2 linked regions of the Oryctolagus cuniculus genome follow. The protein of the gene in region 2 binds, or shares a complex with, the protein of the main gene of each other region. Links are inferred from orthologs where the notes say so. Each region holds a gene or a part of one and is shown on either strand. Other genes may lie near its edges.

Evidence for each region. Proteins that work in one complex are often made in the same cells at the same time.
Region 1: the proteins of GNAI1 (region 2) and HCRTR2 are in contact, whole or in part, in a cryo-EM structure (PDB 7SQO), measured with the Homo sapiens proteins. The link is inferred for Oryctolagus cuniculus from reciprocal best matches to the Homo sapiens genes GNAI1 and HCRTR2. Residues at the interface, in NP_002060.4 of Homo sapiens: Ala31, Arg32, Leu194, Phe336, Thr340, Asp341, Ile343, Ile344, Asn347, Leu348, Lys349, Asp350, Cys351, Gly352, Leu353, Phe354; in NP_001371201.1 of Homo sapiens: Thr89, Arg152, Ala155, Ile156, Pro159, Leu160, Met161, Phe162, Lys249, Gln254, Lys301, Thr302, Met305, Leu306, Ser368, Lys370.

The regions. Positions count from the first base shown.
Region 1 is NC_091436.1:114,251,077-114,256,185, reverse strand, and holds part of HCRTR2 (orexin receptor type 2), read left to right. Parts: intron 1-1,660; coding exon 1,661-1,881; intron 1,882-4,503; coding exon 4,504-4,625; intron 4,626-5,109. UniProt on the Homo sapiens protein: Nonselective, high-affinity receptor for both orexin-A and orexin-B neuropeptides. Triggers an increase in cytoplasmic Ca(2+) levels in response to orexin-A binding.
Region 2 is NC_091434.1:144,905,237-144,910,345, reverse strand, and holds part of GNAI1 (guanine nucleotide-binding protein G(i) subunit alpha-1), read right to left. Parts: intron 731-5,109; coding exon 601-730; intron 1-600. UniProt on the Homo sapiens protein: Guanine nucleotide-binding proteins (G proteins) function as transducers downstream of G protein-coupled receptors (GPCRs) in numerous signaling cascades.

The sequences.
Region 1 (5,109 bases), on a different chromosome or scaffold from region 2:
GCTTATCAGTGGAGAATTTTATTCTCAAAATGAGTGTAAGGTCACACATATCTGTCCTTATGCAGATTGTAAGGTAAAAAGCGGATCACTACATTAGTTTTTCTGATTTAAGAACCATGCCTATGATCCCCATGACAGTTTCTCTTTATGGGAGCTATTTCTGATAGCTGCAAAAGTCACCAGATGCAGGACATTGGTTCTGTCCTTCAAGGGAGCACTTAATAATAGAGTCACTAAAGTTCAAATGATCTCTCAGCGATCATTTAGAAAGGCAGTACAAGACCATTTAGTGTACTTAGAGTTTTCATGCTAGTTCTTCTGGAACTTTCTAACATTCATTGTTGCTTCTCAGTTATTAAACAGAATTACTGTCCTAAAATTGGAGTCACAGAAGAGAAAGAATTCTCAATTGCTGTCTCCTTGCCCCCCACCAACCAATAGATTAAAAGATTGGGTTGGACTGCCACTATGTGAAAGTGTGGTCTACATAGCACGATATAAAGAGAAGATAGCTTGTCGAATGCTTTCTATTTAAGGGTAGATCTTTCGTTAGGATATTTCCCTCTTCTTCAAGAGAGGAGATGGTCAAAGGGAGACCACATTTACTCATCTGTATGGGCATCAAAGCAAAATTCTGTTCTCAAGTTAAACATTATCTAACAGTCTTTGATTTTGTGGTGTAAAAGGCAGAGAATCCATCTAACACCCATTTGGAAAGACCACAAGGACACATTGGTCTGTCCTGCCTTGCTGCAGAGGGAGAAAAGTAACAGCTGAATAATCTTAATAGAACTAAGGCAGCCTTACGGCATGCTCGTTGGCACATTTTCCTCTTGAAAAAATTACACATGCTGAATTTTATTGTTTTGCTCAGTAAAGCCTATCAATCTTCATGAGCTTACAATTAAGAAAATATTATACTTGGCGGGACTCCCTGCTATTATCAGATACTTTGAAAAGAGATGGAAAAGTACAAGTTGTGTAACTGTTGTTACCAATTCTAGTTATTTGAAATGTTAACATAAGATCACAAGGACTCCTCGTGTTTTTGTGGGCATTTTAAAGGGCTTGACCAAAAATCGGCTGCAGACAATTTAATATCTTCAAATATTAAAAAGCACAGAGTAGTTAAGTGTATTTGTTTCACTCAAAGGTTTGCTTTACACAAGCCTGAGAAGCAGAAAACCTCACAGAAAACAGTAGGGAGTTAAGGTCTACCTCTCCATCTGCCAGCAGATGGCAGTGTTGAAGCATGGAACAAACTCATTTGGGTGATTTGTTTCATTACCAGCTAGGTTTTCCTTCTTTCCTTAGGTGTCTGAGCCGCTCCAGAATTCCTAATAGGATTGTCATCCATTTAACATTCTCCTTCTCCAGTTTTTACTTCCCCTTTTATAAGGGAACACCTTTTCCATTTGCAACTGTCTTTAGACCTTGACAAAATTATGCTGTTTTAGCTTGTTTCCATCCAAACACCTAGTTAGCTGTCCACTGAAGGAAAGCCAAAAACCTATTCCACTCCACAAACGTTTTGGAGAAATAGGCACTCAAAACTCCCAGACCTCCGGTGTCTGGCACACTTTCCTGTGTCTTCTAATTACTTCTCCAACGTGGAACTTTCCTAAGTCAAATAGCAACAAAGAATCCCCTCTCCTTTCAGATCCCTGGAACATCATCTGTAGTTCAGAGAAAATGGAAGCCCTTGCAGCCCGTTTCACAGTCTCGAGCGCCAGGACAGCAGACCAAGTCCCGGATTAGCGCTGTGGCTGCTGAAATAAAACAGATCCGAGCCAGAAGGAAAACAGCCCGGATGTTAATGGTCGTGCTTTTGGTGTTTGCAATTTGCTATCTACCAATTAGCATCCTAAATGTGCTAAAAAGGTAAAACTTATCTATTTGGAAATGAAGTGGTTTATCATTTCTCGGTCCATCATTAATAACTTTATTTCAAGCCAGGAGAAAATACACTTTTTGCCTAGATACCTTCTCAGGCCAGATGGCCCAGTTATGTTGTTAACAACAGGTGAGGTGAACAGCCTTTTTAAGTGCTCAGACATATGCTCTTGTCTATGCAGATTCTCTGTTGAATGGCAGACATAAAACAGATGTTCCTCCAAACTCTTGAAGCTAATTGCTAAGCCTTCCATGCAGTGAAAATTTTTATGCAAAGAAAAAAAGAAAAGAAAAACTGCTTTGCATCTTGGAGTTCTTTTTTTGATGAGAACAAATAGGATTTCCAAAACTTTGTCCTCAAAGTCATAGGCAATTGTGACAAAATTCTATCTAAAGATAAAGAGATAAGAATGTTTTGTTTTTAAGCTCTAAAGAAAAAAAAAGTAATCAAAGATAATGCTGTGTTTTGAATATATAAACAAAAAGAGAGAAAATCCATTTTCTCAAGTTACTGAATCAAGCTCAAGGTGAATATTAATAAAAATCATCACAAAATTTTTCAGTGAAGGAAAGTATGTAATACATTATGCTGCAGATGCAATTATTAAATTCAGATTATCAGACAATGACATGAACAGCAGATGCAGAGGCAGTGGTACACACAAAACTGCATGGCCAGCCAACTTTATTGGAAATTATCAAAACTGTTGTACAGGGATTGCTCCCAAGACAATACTAATTCTGTTTATTATGGGCTTCAAACTTAACCTGGACTTGCTCCTCTCAGTTTTCCCTGTTTTGGAGTCAATATCAGATTCCTCACAGCTGGGGACTCTAGAGAGAGGCAGCTTTGGCGAGAGTCAATATAAAGGTGGTATGACCAGCTGCAAAGATCTTCCATTCTCTTTGGCCCCTGTTTTTTGATTATTTAGTGGTTTTTTTTTTTTTCAGTAGAGAAGAATTGGAAAATGAACTTTTGTTCAGCAATATTACTTACTGCAGTCACAGTCTTAAAGGTATAAGATTTTTGGCAACTCAGATCCTTGAGATGTATATTGGCTCACAAGAAAATAAGTATCTTGCCCTTCATATATTTTCATATTCCCCCTCTTACTTTTTCTTGCTCACAAAAATCCCATGCAGATCAAATATGGTCCTTTTCTAGATTGTGTCTCCTGCCCTTACAAAAGAAGCTAGAAAACATGCTATGGGACCAGATGAGTTCTCTTTTTGTCGTTTACTGTTTTAAGTCAGTGTAAATTCAATTTTCATTTACTACTCTGCATTGCTCATTTGGAATTCCTGTATCTCAGCATTTGCACTTTGCTTTTACTGATTTCCGAATACCTACTCATATATAATATTTCTTTTAGACTTCTGACTTGAATATCCTCCTTTCCAAAGAAAATAAATAACTTTTAAGAAAATTTGTGTTAAATTTTAAATATTTTCAATCTAGTGAACATTCTGCTTGTTTCCACAAAATAAAAATTTTTTAAATAATCTTGAAAATTGTTTTTCAGTTTAACATATACATTTTTTTTAAAATTACTATGTCTAGGGTTGCCCTTACATAGTAAAGTTTTTTTTTTCTTCTTCACACACATAAGAAATTTCCTTGAAACTTGAATTTACCAAAAAACAGTAGTCAAAAGCAACTTCTTAAATCAGTTCTAGTTTTTCCAGGATTTCAAAGCTATTTTGGGGTAAAGGGTTATAACCTGATGGATTTCATTTGTCCATTCTGTCTTACAGTGTTTGTATTAAAAAAAAAAAAACAACTCTAGTTATCTGTAGAGCATTGCTTCATTTCAGAGATGCACTTTTATCAGATGCCTTCTTATCAAAAGAAAGCATTAAGATAGGACACAAAACATATAATCAATGATGAAGCCTCCAACAGGAAATCCCTTATAATCTTTGGCCTATAAACTTCCAGCTGTAAGTTATCTGCAATAGGTTAGTGAATAGAATTTGATATATAAAATATTCTAACTATGGAACAAAACTTAAGATAGCCCTTAAGGATGCCACAATAAAATATTTTGTGGCATTCAGTATATTGTACAAAAACTTAGAACTCATGAATTTTAGCAAATTATCTGAGTTATGCCTACTGAAAATAATAATTCTTTGGGTGTAAAGAGTTCCCAGAAGCCAAATTTCAACAAAGCCAGGAAGGTTGGAATTAAACATATAATATTTTGATCCCTGTGCAAATGAAACTAGGAAGAAGTACTTATAGAATGCATATTGTGAGTGCTCTTGAAATGATCCACATAATACTCATTGAACACGAGATTGTTTATGTTTAAGACACAAAATGGAATAAGGAAGATATGTATTCAACTTCTGTATTCTTGTCTACAAGAAGCACTGTATTTGCTCTTTGCCTGACGAAGTGATCCTTTTTCTCTAGCCTGACTGAGCTTTTGATTACTAATTGTGCCATGAAGGTTCTGTTTGGAAACAAACTCTGTTCCACACTGACCATCATGTGTTACACCAGCCCGTGGTTAGTACTGCAGGCTTGCTCACTTTGAATCTGACGGTTTAAAGGCACTTTCCACCCTCACACTGTATTTTCTGTTATTGTTTCTTTTCCTACAGAGTATTTGGGATGTTTACCCACACAGAAGACAGAGAGACTGTTTATGCCTGGTTTACATTTTCACATTGGCTTGTTTATGCCAACAGTGCTGCGAACCCAATTATTTATAATTTTCTTAGTGGTGAGTTTTCACTTATTTCTTCTATAAAACAGCTTTAACTAAGGGTGAGGGACAATGACCAGAAGATTGGAATACTCTTTTTTTTCTAAGATTTATTTATTTATTTATTTATTTGAAAGCCAAAGGTACAGAGAAAGAGAGAGACAGAGAGATTTTCTATCCTCTGGGTCACTACCCAGATGTCTTCAATGGCTGGGATTAACCAGATAAAGCCAGGAGCCAGGAGCTTCATCTGGGTCTCCCACACAGGTGGCAATGGCCCAAGCAGTTGGGCCATCTTCCACTGCCTTTCCTAGGCCATTAGCTTGAGATGGATTTGACATGGAGCATCTAGGACTCAAACCAGTTCCCATATAGGATACCTGCGATGGCTTAACCTGCTAGGCCACAACACCAGACACAGAATATTCTCAAAGCATATAAAAAACTTAGCTGATCTCTGAAATATTTTCTTTCTCTCACCTGGTATGTTTTTTTATTTTTC
Region 2 (5,109 bases):
AAACAGTATTTTTTACAGGGCACTGATATATTTAATAGCTTTTATATAAGAAAAACAAATGTGTAGTGTTGCATTTCACTTGACTGCACAGCCTGATTTTTAAAATATAAAACTCACATTTCTATCTATCCCTGTTCCCATTTTGTACTGAAGCTAATTAAAAACAATTGAGAATTTTAAAATTTATATTTAAAAAATTTTTCTGCATTGAAACACACAAGAAAATGACATGGCATCAGTATAGCATAACCTATGCGTAACAAAAATCACTACATGGGAGGAAGGGACACATGATGAAAAATGAGCCCTGGACGGCTATGGGCTGGCTTTATTTTCACTCGGGATGCAGACGGCAGATACAGGAAAGGCACAGTTGGCAGAGGGCAGGATGAAATGGACTCTCCATCGTCTCCTCTTTTTCAAGCCCCATCTGTGCTTCTTTACCAGATTTCTCTTGAATGATGCAAGCATAAAAGTCAGTGGAAAGTGACGGAACTTCAAATAATTCAGGCATGCATCAAGAATTTCTCAGAAAAACTTCTGGAAACACATCCCTCTCACTGCGTTTCATGCCCCACCCCAGAGAGTGGCTCTACTTGCCATCTCTTCGTCTTCAGCCAGGACCAGGTCATAGTCACTCAGTGCCACACAGAAGATGATGGCAGTCACTCCCTCGAAGCAGTGGATCCACTTCTTCCGTTCGGACCTCTGTCCTCCCACATCAAACATTCTGGAAGGGGAAACACAAGGAGCTGACGTGAATCACACATTCTGAAGGCCCAAGGAGCTCAGAGAGACCACAACAGAAGCTCCAAATAGTTAAATGGGAAGAAAGAAAAAAAAAAAAGGAGAAAGACTTTTTAGGAAGAAAACAATGTCACAGATTGGTTTTCTCAAGTGGGGAAATTTTTTGATTGAAGGGAGGATACCTCTAAACAAAACATCCTGGAAACACAAGACATTCATTAACATGAGAACATTAAAAGAACATGAAAGCATATGCAAATGAATGGACTGCACTGTGTGTAGACACAGAGGCATCACAAGAAGCCAGTGGGCATCGCAGACACCGAAGAGTGCACATTCAAAGTCAGGGAGCACTGCAGGCAGAGGAGGGGCTCCCCTCTTCCTATTATAAAACGCTTTCTCTCAGAGGACTTGGAGATAAAGGACAGCCCATTCCAGGTAAGAAAGTACAGGGCAACTAAATTACATCCACGTAGTGGCAAAGGGTTTTGTTACAAAAGGACAATTGTGGGGAGACTGCGTCGTGCCACAGTGGGTAAAGCCACCACTTGTGACACCAGCATCCCCATGAGAGCTCCAGTTTGAGTTCTGGCTGCTCCACTTCCCATCCAGCTCCCTGTGTCTGGGAAAGCAGAAGATGGCCCACGTATCTAGAGTCCTGACATCCATGTGGGAGACCTGGATGGAATTCCAGGCTCCTGACTTCAGGGTGGCCCAGCCCTGGTCATTATGGCCATTTGGGGAGTGACCCAGTAGATGGAAGACCTCTCTCTCTCTCTCTCTCTCTCTTCCTCTCTCTCTCTCTCTCTCTCATTCTCTTGCTGTAACTCTGCCTTTCAAATGAAGAATTAAATCTTAAAAAACACAAAAAAGTAAACCCATGGTGCAGAAAAAAATGGCATATTTGAAATATAAAGAAGTAAATATAAATAGCCTAGCAACTGAGAATGAAAAATTCAGTTTTTGTACAATATACAATAGTAAATCATTCTGTTAGTGAATGATGTAATAACACAATCATACAATATAAAAACAATGGTTTTTTTTTTCCTACAAGAGTTTATAAAGATAAGCAAAAGTTAAAATCCACAAAGATTATATTATGCAACCTAGAAATAATCGCTTATGTAAGAGAAGCACTATGCAAACTGGTACATTTTTAAAGGCTCCATTTATCTAGATGGTGCACTAATTAAAACAGTCCCTATTTAATTCCCAGGCAAAAAAGAATTTTCCCTATGGAGCACTATTGGCCTACAAACTGAATCTAGGCACATCAACTACTACTGTTACCTTTCCCATCATTTAAGTGGCCTTTATTTTAGCTTTGCCAGTACATTCAAGTATGCTATATTATTCTACTGCATGATAAGTAAAAATGGATAGCATACATAAAGGACAGTCAGTAACACAGACCAAAGAAGAAGAAAAGAAAATAAATTGATTTTAACTGGAAACCATTTATTAAATTGCTTAGGAACAAAACTTGGGGGAAAAAGTAACTTTACCAAAAAAAAAAAAAAAAAACCATATCTTAATCTTAGGAAACTTTTCCAACCAAATGTCATCTACTCTCTGTCTAGCCAATACAAAATAACAATCCCACCTGATCACTTGACATTTTCTCTGTGATGGTTGATTTTGTGTTGTCTTGGCTGGCTGACCACACCATTATTTAATCTCCAGGTACTGCCATGAAGGTATTTCATGAATGTGATTAACATTACAATAAGGGGTTAGCACTGTGGCGTGGTGGTTAGGGCTACAGCCTGCAGTGCCGGCATCCCAGATGGGCTCTGGTTTGAGACCTGGCTGCTCCACTTCTGATCCAGCTCTCTGCTATGGCCTGGGAAAGCAGTAGAAGATGGCCTAAGTCCTTGGGCCCCTACACCTACGTGGGAGACCTGGAAGAACCTCCTGGCTTCGGATTGGCACAGCTCCGGCCATTGTGGCCAACTGGGGAGTGAACCAGCGGATGGAAGACCTCTTTCTCTCTCTCTGCCTTTCCTCTCTCTCTGTGTAACTCTTTCAAGTAAATAAATAAATCTTTTAAAAAAATCTATAATAAGCCTACTTTAAGTCATGAGTTGGTCCTCAGTACCCGTGGATAGGCCACATGCCATCAGCTGAAGGGCCTTAAGAGCAAAACCTAAGGTTTCCACGGCAGAAACAAAATTCTTTCTAGCCCTGTAAAAGCACTCGTGTGTAAGGTGCCCAGCCTATCCTACAAACTAGGGCTTCCACAGTTACATGAGCCAATTCCTTGAAACAATCATAATTGACCAGTTCTGTTTCTCTGGAGAATGCAGAAAAACAAATGTGAGAGCCAAGAGAGAGGTGCTACTTTAACATATGCCTAAAAATGTGAAAGTGGCTTTGCAACTGGGTCATGGACAATAGCTGGAAGAATACTGAAGTACCTGGCAATTATTCTAAAGAGACAGTTGGTAGAACTGTGGACATTACAGGACATTCTGCTAAGAGCTCAGAAGGAAGAAGAGAGAAGAGAAGAAAAGCTACTGTCTTGGAGCACACAAGTATCATCACCAACAGTGTTGGGAGGTACGTGAATGTTACAGGTACTTTTAATGAGGTCTCAGATGTGAAAAACAAGTTGTTGCACCCTACAGAAAAGACAATCCTTGTTATAAAATGGCAAACAGCTGGCTGACTTGTGTTCTAGTATGGGGTGGAAGGGAGAATTTGTAAGTAATGAATTGGGTTGTGTGCATCTCATTGTAACTTTTTGTCTCATTTAACTTCTGAGAATAATTTCACTTATTGTTTGTATGATGGGTATTAAGTTCAAAATGAAGGAATTGTATATTATTATAATTTAAGAATTCATATTATCAGCTGTGACTTGGCATTTATGAGTAGGTTTTTTTTTCCAAAGAAAGCTTTTACTTAAGGAATACAAACTTCATGCATTTCATAAGTACAACTGTAGGAATATAGTGATTCTTCCCACCACACCCACCCTTCCACCCACATTCCCACCCCTCTTTTTCCTCCCTCTCCCATTCCCAGTCCCATTCTCCACTAAGATACATTTTCAGTTAACTTTATACACAGAAGACCAACTCTATACTAAAAGAGTTCAACAATTTTCATGAAAAAAAAAAAAAACTGTTTATGGGTAGTTTCTGTTTGGATTATTTAGTTTTAGTTAAAGAATCACAGTTTAACTTTACTGTTGCTGGATACAGAGATAAAACATTCTTTCTGATATGAAATTATTATAATACAGGAGAAAATTCCTTCTCTATAGTAGTATAATGCGAACACCATATGCAGTGCATGAGTTTAACATTCAGATATGGCTACCCGGCTTTGTACTAGTTGGTCTTGATCACAGTGGTGACAGATAACAGTCTAAGTTAGCATACCTTAGGATGTCCCTCACGGTCTACTGTAGCCTCTAAAATACCTTAGGGAAACTCACATTCATTCCTAATGGCGCTCATCAAAAGTGCCAGCTTTTCATATGAAGGAGAACATTCTATATTTTTGTTTATTAAAAAAAGGTTTGAAATTTTAAATACCAGTTGAAGTATGGAGGTGTTTCTAAGTCATATCTGGAAGAATAAGTGATGCTCTGTGCTTTATCTGCCTTGTCATTGAAAATGAAAGCAGCGATACCAATCGGTGTTTCTGCTAGTTATCTGAAGTTGCAGAGAAATCAATGCAAGGTTGGAACCACGCATTGGCAATGACAGTAATTTAGCAGAATTCAAATCCAAAATAAGAGAAAGTTTATCTGAAGTTGCAGAGAAATCTGTTTATCTTTAGTTTAGGAAATCAGAACAGTAACTACACCAGAGGCTTATAAAATTTGGCCTCACCCAGGAACCCAAACTGAACAAGATTAATGAACTTCCTGAAGCATCATGTTGAAAGTCGATGGAATCTCAGTATTTGCTTGATGGCAAAACTACAACTGTGAAAAGACAAGGATGGAAGTGAAAAGTAGGGTTTAGAGGCCGGTGCTATGGCATAGCAGGTAAAGCTGCTGCCAGGGCCAGCATCCCATATGGGTGCACGTTCAAGCTCCGGCTGCTCCACTTCCAATTCAGCTCTCTGTTACAGCCTGGGAAAGCAGTGAAAGATGGCCTGTCTGAAATCAGGAGTCTGGATCTCCATCCAGGTCTCCCACACGGGTGCAGAGGCCCAAGGACTTGGGCCATCTTCCACTGCTTTCCCAGGCCATAGCAGAAAGCTGGATTGGAAGTAGAGCAGCTGGGACTTGAACCGGCACCACATGGGATGCCAACACTGCAGGCAGCAGCTTTACCTGCCAACTGCTTGGGCCCGTGAACCCATGTGGGAGACCCAGAAGAAGCTCCTGGCTCCTGGATTCAG